Linked DNA regions of Ovis aries. The protein of the gene in region 2 binds, or shares a complex with, the protein of the main gene of each other region. Links are inferred from orthologs where the notes say so. Each region holds a gene or a part of one and is shown on either strand. Other genes may lie near its edges.

Evidence for each region. Proteins that work in one complex are often made in the same cells at the same time.
Region 1: the proteins of CNNM3 (region 2) and PTP4A3 are in contact, whole or in part, in a crystal structure (PDB 5TSR), measured with the Homo sapiens proteins. The link is inferred for Ovis aries from reciprocal best matches to the Homo sapiens genes CNNM3 and PTP4A3. Residues at the interface, in NP_060093.3 of Homo sapiens: Ser357, Asn358, Phe394, Asp396, Lys418, Val419, Asn421, Glu424, Gly425, Asp426, Pro427, Phe428, Tyr429; in NP_001425170.1 of Homo sapiens: Asn5, Pro7, Asp72, Gly73, Ala74, Val105, Ala106, Leu108, Gly109, Arg110, Arg137, Arg138, Gly139, Ala140, Ile141, Asn142, Lys144, Gln145.
Region 3: the proteins of CNNM3 (region 2) and PTP4A2 are in contact, whole or in part, in a crystal structure (PDB 5K25), measured with the Homo sapiens proteins. The link is inferred for Ovis aries from reciprocal best matches to the Homo sapiens genes CNNM3 and PTP4A2. Residues at the interface, in NP_060093.3 of Homo sapiens: Leu390, His391, Phe392, Val393, Phe394, Asp396, Thr397, Glu405, Ala414, Gln417, Val419, Glu424, Gly425, Asp426, Pro427, Phe428, Tyr429; in NP_001356788.1 of Homo sapiens: Met1, Asn2, Arg3, Pro4, Asp69, Gly70, Cys101, Ala103, Leu105, Gly106, Arg107, Arg134, Arg135, Gly136, Ala137, Phe138, Asn139, Lys141, Gln142.

The regions. Positions count from the first base shown.
Region 1 is NC_056062.1:15,514,557-15,522,303, forward strand, and holds the start of PTP4A3 (protein tyrosine phosphatase type IVA 3), read right to left. Parts: upstream 4,932-7,747; 5' UTR 4,856-4,931; intron 1-4,855. UniProt on the Homo sapiens protein: Protein tyrosine phosphatase which stimulates progression from G1 into S phase during mitosis. Enhances cell proliferation, cell motility and invasive activity, and promotes cancer metastasis.
Region 2 is NC_056056.1:103,695,967-103,703,222, reverse strand, and holds part of CNNM3 (metal transporter CNNM3), read left to right. Parts: intron 1-5,216; coding exon 5,217-5,360; intron 5,361-6,322; coding exon 6,323-6,472; intron 6,473-6,725; coding exon 6,726-6,895; intron 6,896-7,087; coding exon 7,088-7,184; intron 7,185-7,256. UniProt on the Homo sapiens protein: Probable metal transporter.
Region 3 is NC_056055.1:235,538,635-235,546,603, reverse strand, and holds the start of PTP4A2 (protein tyrosine phosphatase type IVA 2), read right to left. Parts: upstream 4,932-7,969; 5' UTR 4,540-4,931; intron 3,532-4,539; exon of another isoform or gene 1-3,531.

The DNA of each region.
Region 1 (7,747 bases), on a different chromosome or scaffold from region 2:
TCCCTCCCAGGGTCAGGACCACCTCTCTCTGCCCTCTCCCATGCCCCACGGGGCCAGTGCAGGCTTGGCAGCCCCTCGAGGGGCACACGAAGGCAGGACTGAGTAGGGGGCCAGTAGCCTGCGCCCCCTACCCCACTACACAGCAGCCAAGCTGGTGGTGACAAGGCAAGAGGGGCGCACCTGAAGAGAGGAGTCTATCACGGGGGTGCTGATTCATAAAAGGGTCCATCCTGGCCCCCGGGTGCCACCAGGAGAGAGGCCCGCAGTCAGCGGCGAGGGAGATTCAAGTGAATAACTGCACATTATTTAGCAGCCTGTTCCTATGTAATCCAGCACAGGCCCAGCAGCCCAGTGCTCGGAGCAGTTATGAACCTCCTGGGCTGGTCTGAATTTTCATGAGGAGCCCCATCATGAGGAGCACCACCAAGTCTGTGCTGAACACTAACACGGAGCACGGTTGAGGTGATGCTCCATCCACCCCCGATGTGAGCTCCTGGGGTGGGCAGTACCGTCAAGGTAGGGCCCCAGGCCCTCTCTGCCCATGCCCTGCACAGGGTCAGGCCCAAGAGCACAACTTGACAGGCGAACGGAGGCCCCCCAGACGGCCCCTTCCGAGGTCGCAGCCTTGGAGACTTAAAGGGCTAGTCTGCCAGGCGGTCACATGGGGCAGACGCACGGTTGCAAGTGGGTCGTTTGGCTCAGGTGGCTCCAGCTAAACCGCCAAGGCCACCAGCTTTGTCTTGACCCCCATCCAGTCTGCGGTGGGGTCCAGGGTCTACTCCGAGCTCCCCATTCTCTAGACAAGAAAATTGAGGCCCAGGAAAGGCAGAGGCTGGCCCAGGGTCACCCAGAAGCCTGGCAGAGCTGGGGCCATGGCTCTGGGCTCCCTAGGGCCATGTGGAGGGGACAGCAAGGTCTTGGCGGGAAGTCCCAGGCACCCTCGGGCACCCCCTGAGCTCCTCGTGGCAATTCCCAGCAGATGCGCTGGTGGGCAGCCAGCCAGAGAGAAGTGAAGGCCAGGAGAAGGCCCAGCAGCTGACCCCGTAGGGAGATGAAAGCGGAGGGAATGTTTGGCTTGGCAGGGCCTGGGCTAGGCAAAGGAGGAGGAGGGCCACCCTAGCTTCAGCAGACGATACCCAGGGAGGCCAGCGGGCACAGCAGAAAGGCGCACGGCTGGGTGCAGGCGCAGGGCCGGCAGCAGGTAACCCGCTGCAGGGGGCCGCCGCGGAGCTCCGGGTGGGGTGGCGGGGAATCCTTCTGGCCCTCCCACGCCTCTTCCAGGAAGCCTGAGTCACAGGAGGGCCCCGGGGCCCGGAGAGCGGCCGGGAGCACCAGTCCCACGGGAAGGGGACAGGGCAGGGCCGCCCGCCTCCTCCAGCTGGGCCAGCCCCGGCTTCGGGGTCTGTGCGGCGAGTGAGGCCATGGGAACAGGCTCAGGCCGCTCCCAGGAGGGGCTAGGGGGATGGAAGAGCTGGTGACAGCGGGTCAGAGCCCCCCTTCCACAGGAGGGGAACTGAGACCCCAGAGGAGAAAAGTTGGCTTAGAGCCAGACAGTTAATGACTTGTTATCAACCAAGGAGGGCTCCAGGCAGGCAGGCCTGGGTGCCGGGGAGACCCACAACCTCGTGCATTGACCTCCTGGCTGAGCCCCGTTCCAGCACATCAGCGCCCCGCCTTGCACCAGAGACCACCCCACCACCCTGCTCTAGAACACTCCATAGCTCCCGCCGCCCCTTCCCTCAGAATCTGAGTCAGGAAATGGAACCAGGGCACAAGGCAGCCCCAACCTTCCACCTACCCGCGTCTGCCATGCTGCTTCCTGCCTGGGGGACGTGGGGGTGCACACACAGAGCACCAAGCTTCTGGGGGCGCCACCCCCCTTGACAACCTCAGATCTGATCTTGGCCCCTCATTTGCGGGTGCAGGATGGAAACCCAGGGCAATGACATCCACCCCTGGATTCATCCAGGACTCAGCCAAGGTCTGGGCAGGCACACAGTAAGTGCACAATAAAGGCGGTGGCCGGGAAGACCCAGGAGAGAGAGTGGGTTCGTGGCTCAGAGGCCTGAGAAGGGGAGACAGGGGGAGGAGCCACGTGGGGCTCAGGTCTGACCACTGGACGAGCTCCTCCTGATGTGCCTCCCGGAGGCTGCAATGGCCGAGAACAGCAGAACCCCCGGCCAGTCATCCTGGAGGAACACCACCTTCTAGAAACGAGTTCTCTGGTCTCTGCAAGGCTTGAGCCGCCTCCCTGCCCGCCGAGGCCTCTGGCACTGCGGCTTGGTGCTCACGTCCAGTGTACACACCACCTGCCTTGTGAGGGCTGGCAGGGGACTCACACTCCTAACAGAGGCCAGCGAGGGGCCAGACCCCAAGCCAGGCCAGACCAGGGCCACTAGGCCACAGGGGGGTCACTGTAACAAGTCCTGGGCCTGGCCGTGGCTTCCCCCCACCCCTGGCCTGGGCGGCCCTTCCAGATTCCCAACAGGAACTCTTTCCAGCCACCCAGGGGGACTCGCAGCACCAGGTCAGAAGTGGCGTTGGACAGAGGGGCTCCCCTTCCTGCACCACCACTGCCTGGGTCCCCTGTGACCTCGGGAAGTGAAGAGGCTCAGTGAACTTTGGCCTCTCACTGTAGGGCAGGCGGACGACGACTTCCCGTTGCTGGGGGACAGACCAGGACAGACGGAAGGGGCCTGGCACTCAGTGGGCACTGACACACCCCAGTAACCACCTTCTCCGAGGCTCGACTTCATTACCTGGAAGGGAGCCACCACCCCTGCCGCCCAGGCTCCCAGCGACAGGAGACGCTCTGGCCCTGGGGACGTGAACAGAGTCTTGTTCCAGAGAAATGGACCTGCCCTCACAGCCTCCAGCCTTCAGAGGGCCCCCGGGCCTGGAGTCCTGGCCAGGAAAACAACAGGATGGAGGGAAAACAGCAGGCCAAGCCCTGCGCCCTCCAGCCAGCCCAGCAGCACACCCCACCAGCCGCCCAAACACCCAGCCCTGAAGATCGTGTGCGTGAGAGCAGGGCCACATGTGTACCCTGGTCCTCAGTGCCTGCAGCGTGGCCCCTGGACATGTGCGTCGTGGGCATACACAGCCTCATCGGCCACTTGGTATCACTCTCCCAAGTGAGAGAAGCGTATGGTGAGGCGGGGGACCTGAGGCGGCCTTGGTGGTCCACCATGCCCAAGACAGGACAGCCACGCCAGCCCCTCCTAAGGCTGCCCTCTGCCCCTCACCAGCCCCCAGCCCAGCTCCACTTCTTCCTGGCACTGTTGCCACCTGCAGGCATGGGCACTGCCACCTGACTGCCAGCTCCACGGGGCCAGGGCCAGGTCTGCCCTGATAACAGCTTATCAAGGCCCAGCACACAGTAGGCGCTCAAGTGTTGGTGACTCTGTGAGACGGGAACGCCACCTTGTGGCTCCACCAAGGACCATCACTCAGACAACAGACCAGCGCACCATCAGCCACCCCTCAGTCCAGCACGGCGCCTGGCACAGACTGCGTGGCAAGCACTGCGGGGCTGTTGGTGGAGGCCAGCTCCCCGAGGGGATAGTGGGGGGCATTCTCTCTTCTTGAATACCTGCAGTGAGGGAGGCCTGGGTGGCTGTGGAGAGACCCCCAAGCCCACCTCCGGCCCCCTTTACTCTGCCCAGCAGCCTGTCAGGTAGGGCCACCAGCATCCACTTCACAAGGGGGAAAACAAAGGCCCTGGGGAGGGGCTGGACATGACTCTACCTCTCTGGGCCTTTATTTCCTCATCTGAGAAGCAGAGTTAATAACCTCATGGACAGATCTGAGGAGGTCACTGAGGCAAGGCGCCCACACAGAGCTGCAGAGGTGGGGTCCCCATCCAGGCAAGGCCACAGGCACCCTGTGTCCATTGACCGCCCTCTAGTCCACAGCCCTACACGGCTGCAGCCTGGGACCAAGGACCCACTGGAGTCTACACTCCACTGATGCTAACCTCCCAGGCACTACTCACCACCACCTGCTGGGCTGACCACAGAGCCCACCAGCCAGGAGGGGAGGCACAGTGCCTGCCCGCTGCCCAGGGCCAGAATGCCCAGCACACTGTGACCTCTGGCCTGGACCCCACTCACCCTCAGACCCGTGATCAGGGTCCGGCCTGTGGGGTCACCACACCCCACCTGGGTAAGGCCAGGCCCAGGGCGATAGCTGCTCTGCGGTCATGGAGCTGACATGCCACCCACCCCAACTCCACCGGCCACCAGCTAGCTGCCCTGGAGAACACAGGAGCGTGCCCCCGAGCCGCCTGGCCAAGGCTGGGACCTGCTCTAAGCTGGGGTACTGACTGGACAGATGAACCGCTGCCAGGCTACCAGCGCCCATGCGGTCTGAGAGCCGGGGCTCGCACGGGTCCCCAGCACCTGGAGCTCAACCTGGGCGCCAACCGCGGGGCCGGGAAGCCCCGTGGGGTTCGTGGCGGGCAGGGGCGCTAGAGACCAAGTGCCCCCAAACTGTGCGGAGGAGCAAACTGACAGGGGGTTGGGGGGCGGCACGCGATCCCCGGCGCTGCTTGGGGCACAGGGACTCTGGATGAGGGTCTTCCGCCCCCGGGATCGGGAGCAGGGACCAAGCCTCCCAGCCAGGCGTCCACCGCCCGCCACGGAGGGGAAGCAGCGGGCGGCGCCCCGAGCCGGCCCCCCACCCCACCCCGGGCTGAGAGCTGCACGTGGCAGACGCCGGGCCCTCACTCGCGCCGCCGAGGCCGCGGGGCGCTGGGGTCCCGGCCCCCCAGGAAGCGGCCCGCCCTCGGCCCGCGCGCCCCGCCGCGCGCCCGCACCGCGCGCGCCCCCGCCCGGGCGGGCGCGAGGAGACTGACCTGGCGGTCCGGGCGCCGGCTCCACGGGCGGAGGGCTCGGGGCGCGCGTGCGCGTGCACGAGCCTCCGGCGCGCGCAGGCGCGGCCCCGCTCCGGGCGCGCGAGGCCCTGCCCGCCGGGTCACGTGGGCGGCGCGGCCCAATGGGAGCGCTCCCCACCCGGGGGCACCCGCGGGCGCGCGGGCGCGGGCCCCAGAGCCCCGCCCGGGAGAGAAGGGGCGTGGCCGTGGGCTTTGAGCGCTGTCCGGTCTCCCTAGCAAGCCGGCTGCGGCAGGACGGCGGGGCGGTTAGGGGACCGGGGTAGACTCGACCCCGAGGTGAAGCCGAGGCCGAGAGATGGAGTCCGGCGTCCCAGGCTTTCAGGAAACTTCTGGAGTCCTGGACTTTCCCCTGTGTCATTTGGGGCTGAGCCCCACGCTCACAGGCCGGTTGCCGCGAAGACGGGGCACGGAAAAGCAGTCACCCCGCCCGAGGCTTGGGGTCAGACCGGGGCTTGAGGCCTCCAGACTGCCCCTAATGCATGCAGCGGGCTGGGACCCCCAGGAGATCTTAAGGTGCCCCCTGGGGGACTGGTGGGAGGTCCCCTTCTGGATCAGCCCTTCCTTCCTGGAGCTCACGGCTCCAGCAGTTGTGACTAACGGAGGAGACCCAGCACAGAGAAGGGAAGGAGAGGTGGGCGTGGAACCGGGCTGGAGGTCTCCTCTGGACCTCACACTCTCTCCACCGTGTCCCCCACACCAGTCCATGGACACGCAGCCCAGTCAAATGCCCAGCCTCTCCTCGCAGACCCTGGTGCTGCCTCCATTCCCCAAGAAGATGCCCTCCTACCACCCACCCACCCACCCACAACAACACCTGGACCCCAGGCCCCCAGAAAGGCAAGAGTGAGCGCCCATCTTTCTCTGCAGAGTCCTGCAGGGCGGCGCCCGGGCCACCTGACCCGGCACAGCCTCCCTCCTCTAGCCTCCCGCCCCGCCCCCATCACTGCCACAGCCTGACACCTGCGTGCAGCTCCTCCCACAGGGCAGGGTCCGCCCACCGCAGGGCCCTTGCACTTGCTGTTCTTTCTGCCTGGGAAGTCTTGGCCCCAGAGCATCCCTGGGGTGCTGTCTTTCGCATGTGGTCCCTCTCAGCTGTTGTCTCCTCTGAGAACTCAGTCTCTGCTGACGTCCCCTTCACTCAGCCCCACAGTGCCTCAAGCTCTGCCAGAAAGTCCCCCGGAGAAGCTGGTCTAGGCCTGCCATAAGAACCGCAGAGTTGGGGCTCCCTGTCCGTGGTGCCTTCAGGCAGGGAACAGCGGGAAGACCATGTTGTCAGGAGAGGCAACATCTGGCTGTATTCCAGCTGGGAAGTCCTGGGAGCCCTCCACTGCAGTGACAGCTGGCCACCCACTAAGGCAGCCCATTTCCCATAGCACTGTGGGACTTTAGGGTCCATTTCAACTATTGATTTTCCTTTTGATGTTTATCTTGACCTCACGAGAGCACCTGCATCCTGCAGGTTTCATACACTTCCCCCTCTCCTGTCCCAAGTCTCAGGGCGGGGGTTGTCCCCAGTGCCCTTTGTGTGGAGCCCTGGGTATGGTGTCCTTTGTGGGCTCCCAGGCTGGGGTCTCTCTCACTTCCATGTCCCTGGCATCAGTGTGGGACCCTGAGGAGGAGGATCCCAGAGTTCAACTCCCCAGATGTTCGCTGAACACCGGCCTCTTGCAAGGCACTTATGCCGTCTGTCCCGCCAAGCCCGCACCTCACCCTGCAGCAGAGGGACCGCCACCCTCATTCTGCAGGTGAGGAAGTTGAAGCTCAGTAAGGCAGAGCTGTGGGAATTCCCTGGAGGTCCAGTAGTCGGGGGCTTCCCTGGTAGCTCAGTCAGTAAAGAATCTGCCTGCAGTGCAGGAGACCCGGGTTCAAGCCCTGGGTGGGGAAGATCCCCTGGAGGAGGAAATGGCAACCCACTCCAGCATCCTTGCCTGGAGAATCTCACAGACAGAAGAGCCTGGTGGGCTACAGTCCATGGGGTCGCAAGAGTCAGACATGACAAAGCGACCAAACCACCACCACCCAGTGGCCAGGACTCGGCCCTTTCACTGTCAGAGCCAGGGTTCAATCCTGGCTTCGTGATATGGCCAAAAAAAAAAAAGGCAGAGCCGAGATTCAAGCTCAGCCCTGGGGAAGCCAGAGCTGGCACCACTACTGTGAGTTGAATGGGTGAGGCTAGAAGGGAGACAGAGCTGAACTTGATTCACAGGCAACTTCGCAGTAAGGAGGGTTGGCTCAGAACTGACCTCCTTTACATGGGAACAGGGCCACAGAGGTGGCAGGTGAGTGACGGAGAGGCAGAGTTGAAATCTCAGCCTGAACTCCTAATGCCCAAATCCTCCCTGGGATTGAGGGTCTCACACTACCTACCCTCAATCACTGGACCTGCCCTCCCCCCACCACCAGCACGGCTGCCAGCTGGGGCAGAGGACCTGAAGGGGAACTGGGTTAGGACGGGAGAGGGCCCTCCGGGGCTACAGGATTAGCAGATTAGCTCCAAGGAGGACAAAGATGAGGTCAGTGCTAAGTGGATTTCCAGAAAGCAGCCTCCAGCCCAGCAGGCCCAGCCCCAGAGGAGGCAGGGCCCTGAGGAGGGGCCAGCAGCCAGCTGTGGTCAGTGGGCAGGCCCCCCACCAGTAGACAGACCACAGGTCTTAACCTCTTCCTGCCTCTGTCCCCTCATTTGTGATGGGGTCAGAGGGACAGCTCCATCTCTGAAGATGAGGCTGGATGCCGGCTTGGCTGCTCCTGGCACTGACCAGGTGCTCAGTACATGTTCTTAGGACTCTCCTTCCAGAATCGTCTTCAGGCCCCAGCGTCAAACATGAGCAAAGAAAAAAAAGCGCTTCTTGGGGG
Region 2 (7,256 bases):
TATGAAATGTAGTTGTTAAATCATAAGACTTGAAGGCTGGACTTCCTCCTTGGTCTGTGGGCCGCAGTATGATGTGTTAGTGGGCATGAAAATAGCGTTCACCTTGTGGGACATCTCCATCAGAGCTCCTTGGTGACCAGATGCATTGTCAGTGAGCAGAACTACTTTGAAAAGAATCTCTTTTCAAGCAGTAGGTCTCAGCTGGGCTTAAAATATTCAGTAAACCACGTTGTAAAGAGCTGTGTTGCCGTCCAGGCTTTATCACTCCACTTGTAGAGCACGGGCAAAGTGGATTCAGTGTAGTTTGCACAGGCCCTGGGGTTTTAGGGCCGGTCAGTGAGCACTGGTTTTGGCCTGAAGTCACCTGCTAATTGCATTAGCCCCTGACAGCAGGGTCACTTTGAAACCAGGTCTTGACCTCTCCTCTTTGACTGTGAGGTTCTCCATGGTATCTTCTTCCAATCCTTAAACCTCATGAACTGATCTCTGCTAACTTCAAAATTTTCGTCTATAGCTTCCTCGCCTGTCCCAGCCTTGACAGAATTGACAGCAGGTTGGGTCTTGCTTTGGCTTAGGTTTTGGCTTAAGGGAACATTGTGGCTGGTTTGATCTTCTCTCCAGACCACTCAGACTTTCTCCGTATCAGCAATAAGACCATTTGGTTTCCCTGTCATTCATGTGTTCATTGAGTTGTTCAGTCGCTCAGTTGTGTCTGAGTCTTTGTGGCCCTGTGGACTGCAACACGCCAGGCTTTCCTGTTCTTCACCATCTCCCGGAGTTTGCTCAAACTCATGTCCATTGAGCCAGTAATGCCACCCAGCCATCTCATCCTTGTCGTCCCCTGCTCCTCTTGCCCTCTGAGTAGTGCATTTATTTATATGCTTGTTTGTGTTTATTTTGAGGGAGTAGCTCTTAATTTCCTTCAGGAACTGATTCTTTGCTCTCATGACTTGGCTGTTTGATGCATGAGGCCTAACCTCCGGCCTGTCTTATATGAGTCAGCTCTTCGCATCAGGTGGCCAAAGTATTGGAGTTTCAGCTTCAACATCAGTCCCTCCAGTGAACACCCAGGACTGATCTCCTTTAGGATGGACTGGTTGGATCTCCTTGTAGTCCAAGGGACTCTTAAGAGGCTTCTCCAACACCACAGTTCAAAAGCATCAATTCTTTGGCGCTCAGCTTCCTTCACAGTCCAACTCTCACATCCATACATGACTCCTGGAAAAACCATAGCCTTGGCTAGACAGACCTTTGTTGGCAAAGTAACGTCTCTGCTTTCTAATATGCTGTCTAGGTTGGTCATAACTTTCCTTCCAAGGAGTAAACGTCTTTTAATTTCATGGCTGCAGTCACCATCTGCAGCCCAGAAAAATAAAGTCAGCCACTGTTTCCTGTTTCCCCATCTATTTGCCATGAAGTGTTGGGACTGGATGCCATAATCTTAGTTTCCTGAATGTTGAGCTTTAAGCCAACTTTTTCACTCTCCTCTTTCACTCTTATTAAGATGCTCTTTAGTTCTTCACTTTCTGCCATAAGGGTGGTGTCATCTGCATATCTGAGATTATTGATATTTCTCCTGGCAATCTTGATTCCAGCTTGTGCTTCTTCCAGCCCAGCGTTTCTCATGATGTACTCTGCATATAAGTTAAATAAGCAGGGTGACAATATATAGCCTTGACGTACTCTTTTTCCTATTTGGAACCAGTCTGTTGTTCCATGTCTAGTTCTAATTGTTGCTTCCTGACCTGCATATAGGTTTCTCAAGAGGCTGGTCAGGTGGTCTGGTATTCTCATCTCTTGAGGAATTTTCCACAGTTTATTGTGATCCACACAGTCAAAGGCTTTGGCAAAGTCAATAAAGCAGAAATAGATGTTTTTTTTTGAACTCTCTTGCTTTTTGATGAAACTAAGCCATGCTGTGTAGGGCCACCCAAGACGGACGGTCATGGTGGAGAGGTCTGACAGAATGTGGTCCACTGGAGAAGGGAATGGCAAACAGTTTCCGTATTCTTACCTTGAAAACCCCATGAACAGTATGAAAAGGCAAAAGATAGGATACTGAAAGATGAACTCCCCAGGTCAGTAGGTGCCCAATATGCTACTGGAGATCAGTGGAGAAATAATTCCAGAAAGAATGAAGGGATGGAGCCAAAGCAAAAACAACACCCAGTTGTGGATGGGACTGGTGAGAGAAGCAAGGTTCAGCGCTGTAAAGAGCAATATTGCATAGGAACCTGGAATGTCAGGTCCATGAATCAAGGCAAATTGGAAGTGGTCAAACAAGAGATGGCAAGAGTGAATGTCAACATTCTAGGAATCAGCAAACTAAAATGGACTAGAAAGGGTGAATTTAACTCAGATGACCATTATATCTACTACTGTGGGCAAGAATGCCTTAGAAGAAATGGAGTAGCCATCATGGTCAACAAAAGAGTCTGAAGTGCAGTACTTGGATGCAGTCTCAGAAACAACAGAACGATCTCTGTTCGTTTCCAAGGCAAACCATTCAATATCATGGCAATCCAAGTCTGTGCCCCGACCAGCAATGCTGAAGAAGCTGAAGTTGAACAGTTCTGTGAAGATCTACGAGACCTTCTAGAACTAACACCCCAAAAAGACGTCCTTTTCATTACAGGGGACTGGAATGCAAAAGTAGGAAGTCAAGAAACACCTGGAGTAACAGGCAAATTTGGACTTGGTGTACAGAATGAAGCAGCGCAAAGGCTTACAGAGTTCTGCCAAGAGAACGTACTGGTCATAGCAAACACCCTCTTCCAACAACACAAGAGAAGACTCTACACGTGGACATCACCAGATGGTCAACACCGAAATCAGACTGATTATATCCTTTGCATCCAAAGATGGAAGAGCAGTTGGTGGTGCCACCCCCCCCCCAAAAAAAAAAGTTACAGTAGAACATCACAGATCACCATAACAGATATTATTATATCTTGTTATATTTTGTTATCACAGTGAAAAGGCTTGAAAATCATCAGAAATGACCCAGGTGTGACACAGACACTGGACAGATGCTGTTGGACAGATGGTGCCAGCAGACTTGCTCAGTGAAGGGATGCCACAAACCTTCCATCTGCAAGAAGCGCAGTGTCTGTGAAGCACACTGAAGCCATGTAGGCCTGTCCTGCATCTCGTCCGTGCTCAGATGCACGGTCTTTTTGCATTTTAACACCTCTCTAGTCTCATGATTGATGATGTCTTGGATTTGATGAAATACAGTAAATGTGATCTTTTTATTTTACAGCCTCATTCCTTTTTTTTAAAAAAGTTAGTTGAGTTCATTGTGTTGGTTTTGTATATGTATAGTGGGTTGAAGTTTTTTTTTTTTTTTTTACTTGATGTGCTTTTAAAAATTATTTATTCAGTTGTGGTTGCGCTTGGCCTTCGTTGTGGTGCTCGGGCTTCCCGCGGCGGTGGCTTCTCTGAGTGGAGCACGGGCTCGAGGCCTGCAGGCTCAGTAGTTGCGCACAGGCTTATTTGCCCTGCAGCATGTGGGGTACTCCTGGACCAGGGATTGAACCCTTGGGCCCTGCACTGGCAGGTGGATTTCTTCACCACTGTGCCATTAGGGAAGTCCCTTATTCCTTTCTTGACCATCTGGTTAGTGGCCTAGTAGTAAGAGCTTTTGCTTGACTCTGGACAGTTTCATTCCATCCAGCTTTGGAGCAGAGGTCTTCCTATATCTGATTACTGGGCGCAGGGGAATGGGCTGGGGAGGAGCGTGGAACATAGGTGCTGAAAGAATGAGGCAGAGCATGGTGCTTCCAAAGAATGTGCTTCTGAACCCAGTCCCCTGCACTGGCACTGAACCCAGGGCATGTAAAGTGGATTCACACACAGACGTGAACTTCGCTCTCTGTTTTGCCAGAAGATTCTGGAAGCAAGCACACCTTTCTGTGCAAGTCCAGGCCAGCTTCCACCCTGCGCTTTTTTCACTAGTGACAAAAGGCGTGGTTGAGATGAGTTTGCTCCCAGTTCTGTATCCCAGATCTGCACAGCCTGGGCCAGTAGTCACTACCCACGTGTGGCTGCTAAGTTCTTGAAAGGTCGCCAACAGTCCTAATTGAGGTTGGGGTGTGCAGTGAGCACCAAACGCGTAGCGGATTTCCAAGATCTAGTGTCCCCCAAAGGCAAAATATCTGTTCATATGTTTATGTTGATTGCATTTTGTAATATTTTGACTGTACTGAGTTCATCATAATATATTATTAATTTCATTTCTCTTTATTTTTTTTTTTAACACAGCTACTCAAAAACTTTGCCTTGCGTTCTATTTCTTTTGGACAGGCATAAAGGTTTATAGCTTCCCTGGTGTCTTAGTGGTAAAAAAAAAAATCCATCTGCCAGTGTAGCAGTTGTGGGTTCAGTCCCTGGGTCGGGAAGGTCCCCTGGAGAAGAAAATGGCACCCCACTCCAGTATTCTTGCCATGGACAGAGGACCCTGGCGGGCTACAGTCCATGGGGTCACAAAGACTTGGATACCACTTAGTGACTAAGTAACAACAATAACAAAGTTTTATAGAGGAAAGCACTTAGCTGAAGCAGAGTAAATTCTTGAGGGTTCCGCAACAGTCCCCAGTACTCTGAGGCTAGGCTTCTCTCAAGCTTATGTTTTCTCTTTAAACAAGCAGCTGGCTGGCCTGAGGAGGAAGGACAAGAATCACAGCCTCATGCTCTTCCTCCCACACAGTTTGGGCTCTGCCCAGGTTGCCACTGTCTTCATCCCCCTGCCTGACTTTCGTGAAAACAGAGGGCAGCATTCAGAACTGGGAACGCTTCCCTTGGAGACATCCAACGTGGCCCTGTTGGCTCCTGCGTCCAGATGGTCCCTGGGGAGCCGGCGTCTCTGGTGTCAGGGCCTTGTCCTCGGTCCAGCTGCCCTTTACCGTGTCTGTTCTGGTCCAGACACCTCCTTGTCTAAACCATGTTTGCGGCGTGGAGTCACGCAGACCTGGAGTGGCTCCAGCTCCGCCACTGCCTGGGGGGGCCTTGGGCAGGTGGACCTGGGGTCTGAGATTTATTCCTCACAGGCACATGGAGAGTCTTAGGTAGTGAGAAGCTAGGAATGATCTCTCCTGATGCACGGCGCATTGTGGGAACACAAATCAGCTTCCATCCTTGTGGTGGGCTTGTCAGTCGAGACGAGGGAAAACAAGAGGCCTCCAGCAAGCTGTAACGTGAGCGTTCTCTCCCTACAGGGAAGTCCCACCTGGCCATCGTGCAGAAGGTGAACAACGAGGGCGAAGGTGACCCCTTCTACGAGGTGCTGGGGCTGGTCACCCTGGAGGATGTCATCGAGGAGATCATCAGGTCCGAGATCCTGGACGAGTCTGAAGACTACCGTGAGTCCGGGCTCCTGTGTGCTTCCAGCTCATCTGGTCTCGAGTTTACGGAGACGTGTATATCAGAGGCTGGAGGTGCCCATGTTGTTCGAAGTGGGGCTGGATCTCGGGGCAGAGCTGTCACGTCCCCAGGCCCATGTCCTTACCCCTGCGGGGGCTGGAATTGCCTCTCACTGGAGATGGGGCTCACCTGTGGCTGGACCGTCCCTTTGGTGGCTTTGCAGTCCCGGCACTGGACTAGGCTCTGGCCTGAATGGGCGCTGCCCAGTCTTCCTCTTCCTTGGCCTCTTGTCCTGTGGTGCATTGTAGAAGTTCTGAAAGAACCCCCTGCTTTACTGCCGAGAGGTTCTTCCCCGACCAGATGATCCTGGGGCCTGTGGTTGTGTCTTAGGAGGGCCTGCCTCTCAGGTGGCTGCAGTCTGCAGGGCAAACACAGCCCATGCTTGGTGGGGACTCACAGGGGCCCCAGAAAGCTAGCTGCCCACCCCTATGAGTTTGCACGTGAATCTCTTTGCCCGGGTGCCTGTTCCCCAAATGCGACGTCGTTCGGCTCCTCAGACAGCCGTAGGCATGGGGTCTGCAGATGAGCGGCTGTTTGGCACGAGTGGTGCTCATACTCACGCTTCCTGGAGGGGCTGCTGTTCTATGTAAGCTTTTTGCTGTTAGTCTGCATCATATGTTCCCAGCTCCAAGGAGGGGAGCAGGCCTTTCTGCTACTTCTCAGGCCGTCCCTGGAATGCAGGCCACTGCCCCCCTGACGCGGGTACCGGATCATTGCCTGGTGGGGGTGGCAAGGCAGGTTCCGGCAAAGCAGCGGTGCCCAGGACAGGGCCTGGGGTCCTGACGCTGTTCCCCCAGGAGCCCCAAGGCCTTGGAGGCGGGAGCGGCAGCAAACCCCTCAGTCCGGTCGTGTTGGTGGAGGGCTCCTGGCGCCTCAGCAGGCCCTCTTCACCCCACCCCAGGAGACACCATAGTGAAGAAGAAGCCTGTGTCTCTGAACGCCCCTCTCAGGCAGAAAGAGGAGTTCTCCTTGTTCAAGGTGTCTGACGACGACTGTAAAGTGAAAATCTCGCCTCAGCTGCTCTTGGCCACCCAGCGCTTCCTGTCCCGAGGTGAGAGGTGGGGTGGGCCCCGTCCCGGCTCTCCGGCTCACCCCACCGCCCCTGCCGTTCCTGGCGCTCCTCTCTTCTGCCCCGTCAGTATCTCGGTTCACCGGAGGGTGGCTGTCCTCTGCCAGCAACAGAAAGCCGCGTCCGGTGGGTGTCGGGGAGGCTGGGGGAGCCGAGACGGGCAGTGGTGTGCTGACATGGGCTGTGCTGGGCCCAGAGGACGGTGTCCCCATCCCTTTTTCCCACTGTGGGGCAGAGGTGGACGTCTTCAGCCCGCTGCGGGTCTCTGAGAAGGTCCTTCTGCACTTGCTGAAGCATCCCAGTGTCAACCAGGAGGTACGGTTTGATGAGAGCGACCGCCTGGCTGCCCACCACTACCTGTACCAGCGCAGCCGGCCAGTGGACTACTTCATCCTCATCCTGCAGGTACTTGCCAGCCGGCCTGCAGCCCACCGCTTGCCCAGGGTGTGGGGAGGGTGTAGGGAGAGGAATGCCCGGGTGCATGCCCCCTGGATAGGGGGGTCTGTGCTCTCTCCTCCTGCTCTTTGCTGGCAGGAAAGGTGACCTGTCCACCCCTCTCCCTGTCCTCTTTTCCTCCCTCTCTCCCCGCACCTCCAGGGCAGGGTGGAGGTGGAGATCGGTAAGGAGGGCTTGAAGTTCGAGAATGGGGCCTTCACCTACTATGGGGTTTCTGCCCTGACAGCGCCATCCTCAGGTAAGCTGGGTACTCCTCTTGGCGCTGGAGGCGGGGTTGGGTGGGCACTGCAGGGTGGTCTGCCTGGGGACC
Region 3 (7,969 bases), on a different chromosome or scaffold from region 2:
GTGTTACAGAATCTACGGGCAAAAAAATCAGCGCAGGCAAGCAAACATTTGTATTCAAGTCACATAAAGCTGTTGCTATAATCTGTCAACCCCTCAGCCATTTTTTTGGCAAAGAGTTTATGCACTGTAAATCTACACTGACTGAACAAACAGGGCAGGAAAAACCGCCTCAACATGTGCAGGAGATAGGTTAGACCCTCATACAGGCTCTAGGAGCTCCGCAGGGGAGCTACTAACAGTGGACAGAGCCTGCAGCGCTGCGCAGTTTCTCCCGTGAAGGCGTCTAAGTAGAGAGTTTCCGGTTTAGCCTCAATCTCTAGAACTCCGAAGAGGGAGAGATTTCTGATACAATATCCACTTGAGCCTTGTATCAAGCAATCCTGTAAGGCTTCAAGTCCAAGTCAAAGGAGCCAGAGAATGTGCTTCAGTCAATAAAATGAAGGCTAACCAGAGAAAGCAACCAGACACCGCTACCTATACACTAGTTCTGAAACTGAAAATGGATAATATTCCAAAGTAACAGATTCAAATCACCATTTCCCAAGTAATTTTAGTTGGTGGCATCTGTTTATTTAACAAACCCAAGATACAAAATTACATGAATTGTAACATCAAGGACTCTTGCTTTATAAACTTAGAGAATAATCATTAGTTTCTACATAATCCAACTGGTATCTTGAGAAAAATCTCAAAGCAACAACATGCCCCAAAGAGCAAAAAAAGTAACTGAAGTATCCTTAAAAAAAAAAAAAAATACTAAATTTCAAGCGAAGAAAAAGGTAATTTCCTTAACTTCTACTAGTTCCTACACAACTCATGTAAATGACTGGAGTTAACTGAGGAGGGTGGGGGGAGAGTTAGAAAGAGACTTAAGTACTTTAAGCCCCAAGGGGAAAAATTTTTTTTCATCCACTGCCATCTATTTACTGATACTCTTTAACTAGGATTCAACAATTGATCTCTAAACCAATTTTCTCATCTACAAAATTGGAAGGATGCCATTACTTACTCCCAGGGCTATTATGAATTTAAAATGATATGATTTGTGATTCAGCACAAAGAAGATTCTTGAGACGATTATGTTGAAACCTAAAGCATGCTGGACTTCACAAGCATTCCAAGACCTCAAAATCTCAAGCCACCACCCTAATTCAATAAACATAACTAAGCCTGGTATGTTAGAACTACGGGTCCTGATTTCCAGTTGCTTTAAATTTTTAAAGATCACTAACTTCTCTAAGTAGCAGAGCTGTTGCGACAGCACTTGAAGAAATCAACCTAACTTGGGCTTCCCTCTGAAGTTTCACTCAAGAGCAACAGCTAAAAATGTATGTATTGCTCCTCTGCATCTTGTTTGTAAATGCTTTTTCCAGAGGCCTCACTGGTTACCAATCCCATATTCCGACAACAACAAAAGTACAGTCAAACCCTCGAAAATAAATCTCCATTAAATTTCAACTTTGTGTCTCAAAACTATAAAATGTTCTGTAACTACTTCATACAGAAATACTGTCTTTAAAGACAAAGTAAATAAAAATAAATGTTTTTCCTTGTTCATACAGGGTCTTTTCAAGTAAAACATAAATATGGAGCTTTCAGATTTTTTAAAAAGTATGTGCAAAAGCATTCAAACATTTACTCTTCCCTAGTGCCACCAAAGTTCAATGATGTTGTAAATGGTTTCTGTCTATAAATTTGGTTCGCTCAAATTAAATATTACTTGCCTGACTCATAGAGGGAGTGGTTTGACTTTTGCTATTCTGAGTCAGAATATACCCGGTTCAGCAGTTCTAAACAATTTTTCATTTGTAAGGTGGTCTAAAATGCTAGCAGCCTTTTCCAGCTACTAAATATAACAAACTGTTACCTCAGTAGTAAAGTCTTAGCGATAATAACACTTTGAATCTGTAGTCCAATTTATAAATAATGAAGTATTTTCATATATATTTTCTTCACAATCTCACAGTCTCCTGTAGTAAATATATCACAAAGCTAAAGAGAGATTTTTACAAAAGACAGCTTCTGTGACTCTTAGACCCAATTAATACACTCTTCTTCTTTCCCCCAAAATAAAAAACACAACAGTCTATTGGGTTTCTTTAATCAGACTTTTCTCTCCCAGACATATCCCAGGTGCCTCATAAAAACTCTGTCTCAAAGCACACACCCTAAGGCCCCAAGTGAGTTCCAAGGCAGAATCTCCACCCACATAAAAGCCTATCCTAACTTAGGCCCCAAAGAGCCTCAAGTCAGCATCTCCTTAAAGATCTACTCGCCTCCAGCCTTCAGTCTTTTGCATTAACCTCAACACCTCTTACCTGCACAAGCTGCTAGGTCACTGTGTGGATGAGAAACTTCAAAGAGAGACAACCTAGCGTGAGGGAAGTTAATGGTATAGTGGAAAAAATCAAAGACTATGGAGTCAGACTGACCTGGGTTTTTAATCTAGCTCCCATTCTTATTATAAGTTCTGACCTGGGACAAGTTAATTAACCTCTTTGAGTCTCCATACTGTCTCATTTCATCACTGAAGTCAATGAGGGCTCATCACTGTATCCCTAAAGTCTGGCAAATAGAAACCATATGTGTCAAATGAATGCAAATGAGAACACCTACCACCTTTTAATAGTAGCTGTGAGAACTGAACAAGAGTATAAAAAGCACCTGGTACACAGTAGGCACTTAATACTAATTAATCCAGTCACCCACCAAATGATAACAATACTACTCACTGTTTCTCAAAGTAGAGAGCATGCTAATGATCAAGAAAAGGACACAGTAAGAAATTTATAATTTCTGACTTCTAATTATATACAAATGCTTTTGCTTGTAGTTCTATCACATTGAATACCAAAAGGACCACACTACACTTCCAACTTCTAAGAGACTTTTCATCATTTCAGTATAAAATCCGTATCAAGGCACTCTTCATCAAGAACCCCTACTTCCTTCTACAACACAAGAATCTGGAAAAGTCCATGGCAATGATTAGTCCATTCACCATACAACATGAGACTACTTTTAAAATGAATACCAGCAAGCAACTTTTCACCATCTTCACCAACACAATGATTACGCTGGCAAGTGATGATGAAGCCTTAATTTCCTTTTGCATGTGGACTAAGGCATAACTTCACTGACTTCCTGTCTGAAAGACTCTGTAACACAGAGCAATGGAGCCAGTAACTACCACATTTAATCCAGCAGTAGCTACAACTTGGTGACTCCACACAGAAAAGCATTTGCTGAATGCATACAATGATGCTACAACTGCTATTTTACACATTTCTTGAAAAATTCTAGAAAATAATAAACTATGCTATGATTGAGCTTCATCATCAACATGCTACACAATTATTACTATTATTTCTTAAAAGCTTCTCTCCAGAAGGGTAGCAAGGAGGTAAAACCTAAAACACATTTCTTATATATTTACCTAACAATAAAACACCTCTCACCTGAAAAACTAGCAGTACTTTACAACAGTCTATCTGAACACTCAAAAGGCAAGAGTCTAGGATCCCAGGCAATACACAAACTTGTTTTAGCTAGCTTTCAGAACCCAGACTAGGGTGGGATGCCAACCAATCATGTGCTCGACAAATTTGGAAATTGATGTCCATGTTCTGAAATATTGGGGGGGGGGGAGGAGGAGGCACAGGGCCAGAAAATGATATTGCCACTGGCATAGACTTCTGTACCCTTTGCTCATACTTGAACCCAAGGACCCAAGCACAAGATGCTCCTGGAAAGAACTCCCTAACCCAGGACACCCAGGCTCGCTACGGCCCTAGAAAACGATCAAGGATGGCCCCCAAGGATGCCTGCTCACAGACTGGACAATCGCAGGCAGACACTTCCACGCTCCCTCATCCGCCTGCCCTTCACCTTCTCCCCGAGCTCTGTCTCACTCTGCTCTCACGTTCTCCCGCCCATCACTCTACCCCTAGCACGCAAACTCTCCCTCCCCCACTTACTCACGCTCCCCATTTACCCCACTCTCCCACGCACAAGCATTCTCCCCCCACTCACTCGTTCCCACATGCTCCCCGCTCCCTCTCCCCTACACTCACCTCCCACCCTCCTGACACTGTACCCCCTACCGCCCCCTACTCACACTTCCCCTCACTCTCCTCTGCAAGCGAGCGCGCGCGCGCACACACACACACACACACAGCCCCCCAACTCCCCCATCTGCACTTTCTCCCTCGCCACGCTCTCCCCACATGCACACAGCCCTGTTCCCCAACTCACACTCTCGCCTTCACACACGCACATTCCCCCCCCCGCCCCACACTCCACATTCTTGCACACAGCACTCGCTCCTCTCCCCTCCCACACGCGCGATCCCCCCCTCCTCACCCACCCTCGCTCTCCACGCTTCCCGGCCGCGCTCCCCCCGCCCCCGGCCCCAGCCCGGCCCTTCTTCCGGGGACGTGTCTCGGGCCTGCACTAATGGCTGCGGCGCCTCCCGCCCTCCCCTGCCCCGAGGCCCCCGGGAGGCGGCGCGGGGGGCCGCCCGGGAGCCGCGCAACTCACGCTGGCGAGCTGGGGACTGGGCATTGAAGTCTGGCGGCGGCGGGAGCGAGGAGGCGCCTCTCTCCTCAGTCACCTCGGCGGCGGCGGCGGCGGCGGTAGCGGTGGCGGCGACGACTCCCCCCCAGCCTCGGCGCGCGACACCCGGCCCGGCCCGGCGGCGGCGGCGGCGCGTGTCCACGAGTCCGTCTTGCTGCTGCTGCTGCTGCTACGGCCGCCGCTGCGTCTCCGGCTGCTGCCGCTGTCCCCGCTGCCGCCACTGCCCTGTGGCCTCGCCTCGCCCCGTGACCGGCCGCCGCTGCCGCTCCAGCCGCTACCGGACGGACGACGGTTACAGCCCCGGCCGATCGCGCCGCCGCCACCACCACCGCTGCGCGCGCAGCCGGAACCAGCTCCCGCCGCCGCCCCTCAGGGGGCGCTGCGGGGCGCGGCGCGCGCGCGCGCGCCCGCCGGCCCGCCCTCCGCGCCCGCTGACTGGCTGGCGGGCCGGCTCGAGGCGGTGGGGCCCGCCCACCTGCCCCGCGGGGCGCTGACCCACTGCCCTGGGCACCTCCCCCGCTCCTCCTCGTGGTTCGTTCCGATCAGCACTTCTGGCTGCGGAAGGCGCGTCCATGTGACAGGGAACGGGGGGGCGGTGGGCAGAACCTGACCGGGGGAGTCATTCGCCCACGCCGTGGCCCGCCCATCCGCACCTGGGCTGAGCAAGGGCCGGAGGCCGCAGGGTGACCCTCAAGGTCGAAGGGTGTTTTCCCGTGACCGGGCCGTGAGGCCTGAGGCCAGACCCTGATGGGACGAGGCGGAGACCGAGCCCTTTGCTCGGGGATTTCCAACCCAGAAGTGAGAACCGGGGCAGCTTAGTTCTTGGCTGCCCTTTCTTGAGGCCCCAAATAAATGGCGTGTGCGTCTGCAATTGCTCAGGATATTTCTGCGTGCTACTACCCTCACTCCCCGCCCGCGACACAGACACGCGCGCGCGCAAACCTAGGAATCCGAGTAGGAGATCAAAATTCAAACTTCCGGGAGATAGCATCTTGGGCAAGTTATTTCCTATCTTCGTATTTTCAACTATTAAATGAAAATGATTATCAGCTACCCCCTGGGGCTCTTTTCATTATGTATGAAAAATGCGTGATAAAGAGGAGACCCTGAATTTAAAGACAGGGATTATTCTAGAGCTCTCAGTATTCTCTCTTGCGTTTAGAAGGTGGGCAGAAATTCTTTGTCGGACCATGAATTAGGAGTTTTGGTTTGGAAGATGTGGTCACCAGTGACTTGGGAGATTGGTCTGGGTCATTGCCAGATGGCAGCAGGAAAGAAGCACTGGAGGCTTACCCTTGAGAGCTGGAGAAAAGGGGCAAGGGGCTCTGTCCTCCTCCTTCACCCTGGGAAGCCTCATCTCAGAATTGTCATTCGGATGCTAAGTAGTGGCCTACTCTTTGCAATCCCATGAAATGCAATACGCCAGGCTTCCCTGTCCTTCACCATCTCCCATGAGTTTGCTCAAACTCATGTCCATTGAGTCAGTGATGCCCTCCCAACTATCTCATCCTCTGTGGTCCCCGTCTCCTTTTGTCTTCAGTCTTTCCTAGCATCAGGGTCTTTTCCAATGAATCCCCTCTTCACATCAGGTGGCCAAAGTATTGGAGCTTCAGCTTCACCACCTGTCCTTCCAATGAATATTCAGGGTCGATTTCCTTTAGGATTGGCTGGTTTGATCACCTTGCAGTCAAACGGACTCTTAAGACTCTTTTCCAGCACCATAGTTTCAAAGCATTCTTTGGTGGTCAGCCTTCTTTATGGTCCAGTTCTCACATCTGTACTGGAAAAACAATAGCATTGACTATGTGGACCCTTGTTGGCAAAGAGATGTCTCTGCTTTTTAAAATGCTGTGCCAGTTTGTCATAGCTTTTCTTCTAAAGAGCAAGCATCTTTTAATTTCGTGGCTGCAGTCACTGTCCTCAGTGATTTTGGAGACCAAGAAAATGTCACTGTTTTTCACTTTTTTCCCCATCTATTTGCCATGAAGTGATGGGACTGGATGCCATGATCTTAGTTTTTGAAATGTTGAGTTTTAAGCCAGCTTTTTCACTGTCCTCTTTCACCCTCATCAAGAGGCTCTTTAGTTCCTCTTTGCTTTCTGCCATTAGAGTGGTATCATCTGCATATCTGAGGTTGTTGATATTTCTCCCATAACAAGCAAGTGTTAGTCACTCAATCATGTCCAACTCTTTGTGACCCCATGGTCTGTAGCCCATCAGGCTCCTCTATCCATAGGATTTCCCAGGCAAGAATACTGGAGTGGGTTGCTAGTTCCTTCTCCAGGGGAACTTCCGGACCCAGGGATTGAACCTGTGTCTCCCACATTGCAGGCAGACTCTTTACCACTGAGCAACCAGGGAAGCCCATGTTTCTCCTGGCAATCTTGATTCCAGCTTGTGAGTCAGTCAGACACCTATCTAGAAGGTACTCCTGCCCCTTGGGCTGCCTCTCCCCACCTCCTCACCCCAACACACATATTCACTTGGCCCTGTGAGGAGAAGCAATGGTCAGTACACCTTCCCCACAAAGTCGACCTGGGGCTTTGCTGTTGACAAGAAGGTGTTCATTACAGTTTAGCAGTAAAAGGAAAGGTTTTATGACTCAGCCACCTCACACCACAGCACAGGTCCCAGGATGTTCACCAACAGTAGGTGGCCCAGGAAAATGAAAGTGAAAGTGAAGTCACTCAGTCGTGTCTGACTCTTTGCTACCCAACCTCATGGACTGTAGCCCACCAGGCTCCTCTGTCCATGGGATTTTCCAGGCAAGAATACTGGAGTGGGTTGCCATTTCCTTCTCCAGGGGATCTTCCCGACCCAGGTCTCCTGCATTGTAGGCAGACGTTTTATCGTCTGAGCTACCAAGGAAGGAGATAGGTATTCCAGGCCAAAGCTGGCTGGTGGGCTGTGTGGGAGCTGAGAGGCCTTGAAGCAAGAGGGGCTGCAGATCAGAATCCAGGCCCTTTTAGTGAAGAACACAGGCTCAGCTCTCACATTCTACCTGGCTCCAGCAGACAGCATTTTCTACTTCCTCAAAGCACAGGTTTGAAACAGAGAACTACCTGCTCTGCAAAAATTTTGTTGAGTCTCCTGGTTATTGATTCTTCTGCTGAAGTCCCAAAACACCTGTGCAATCCCCTATCATAGCCTGTATCACTTGTATTATAAATGCCTATTTTCATGTTCTCCCATATTTAGACTGTTACTTGAGGCAGTGTAGCAGACTGTTGAGTAAACGAATGAATCTTCCCCCTGTCCAGCTCTCAGTCCAGCCCTAAAATGTCAGGTAATAATATAATAACAAAGATATTAATAGCCATCATAACAGGTACTATTTATTAAGCATCTACTCTATTCTAAGCCTGCAGAAGGTGTTTTAAAATATATTATCAAG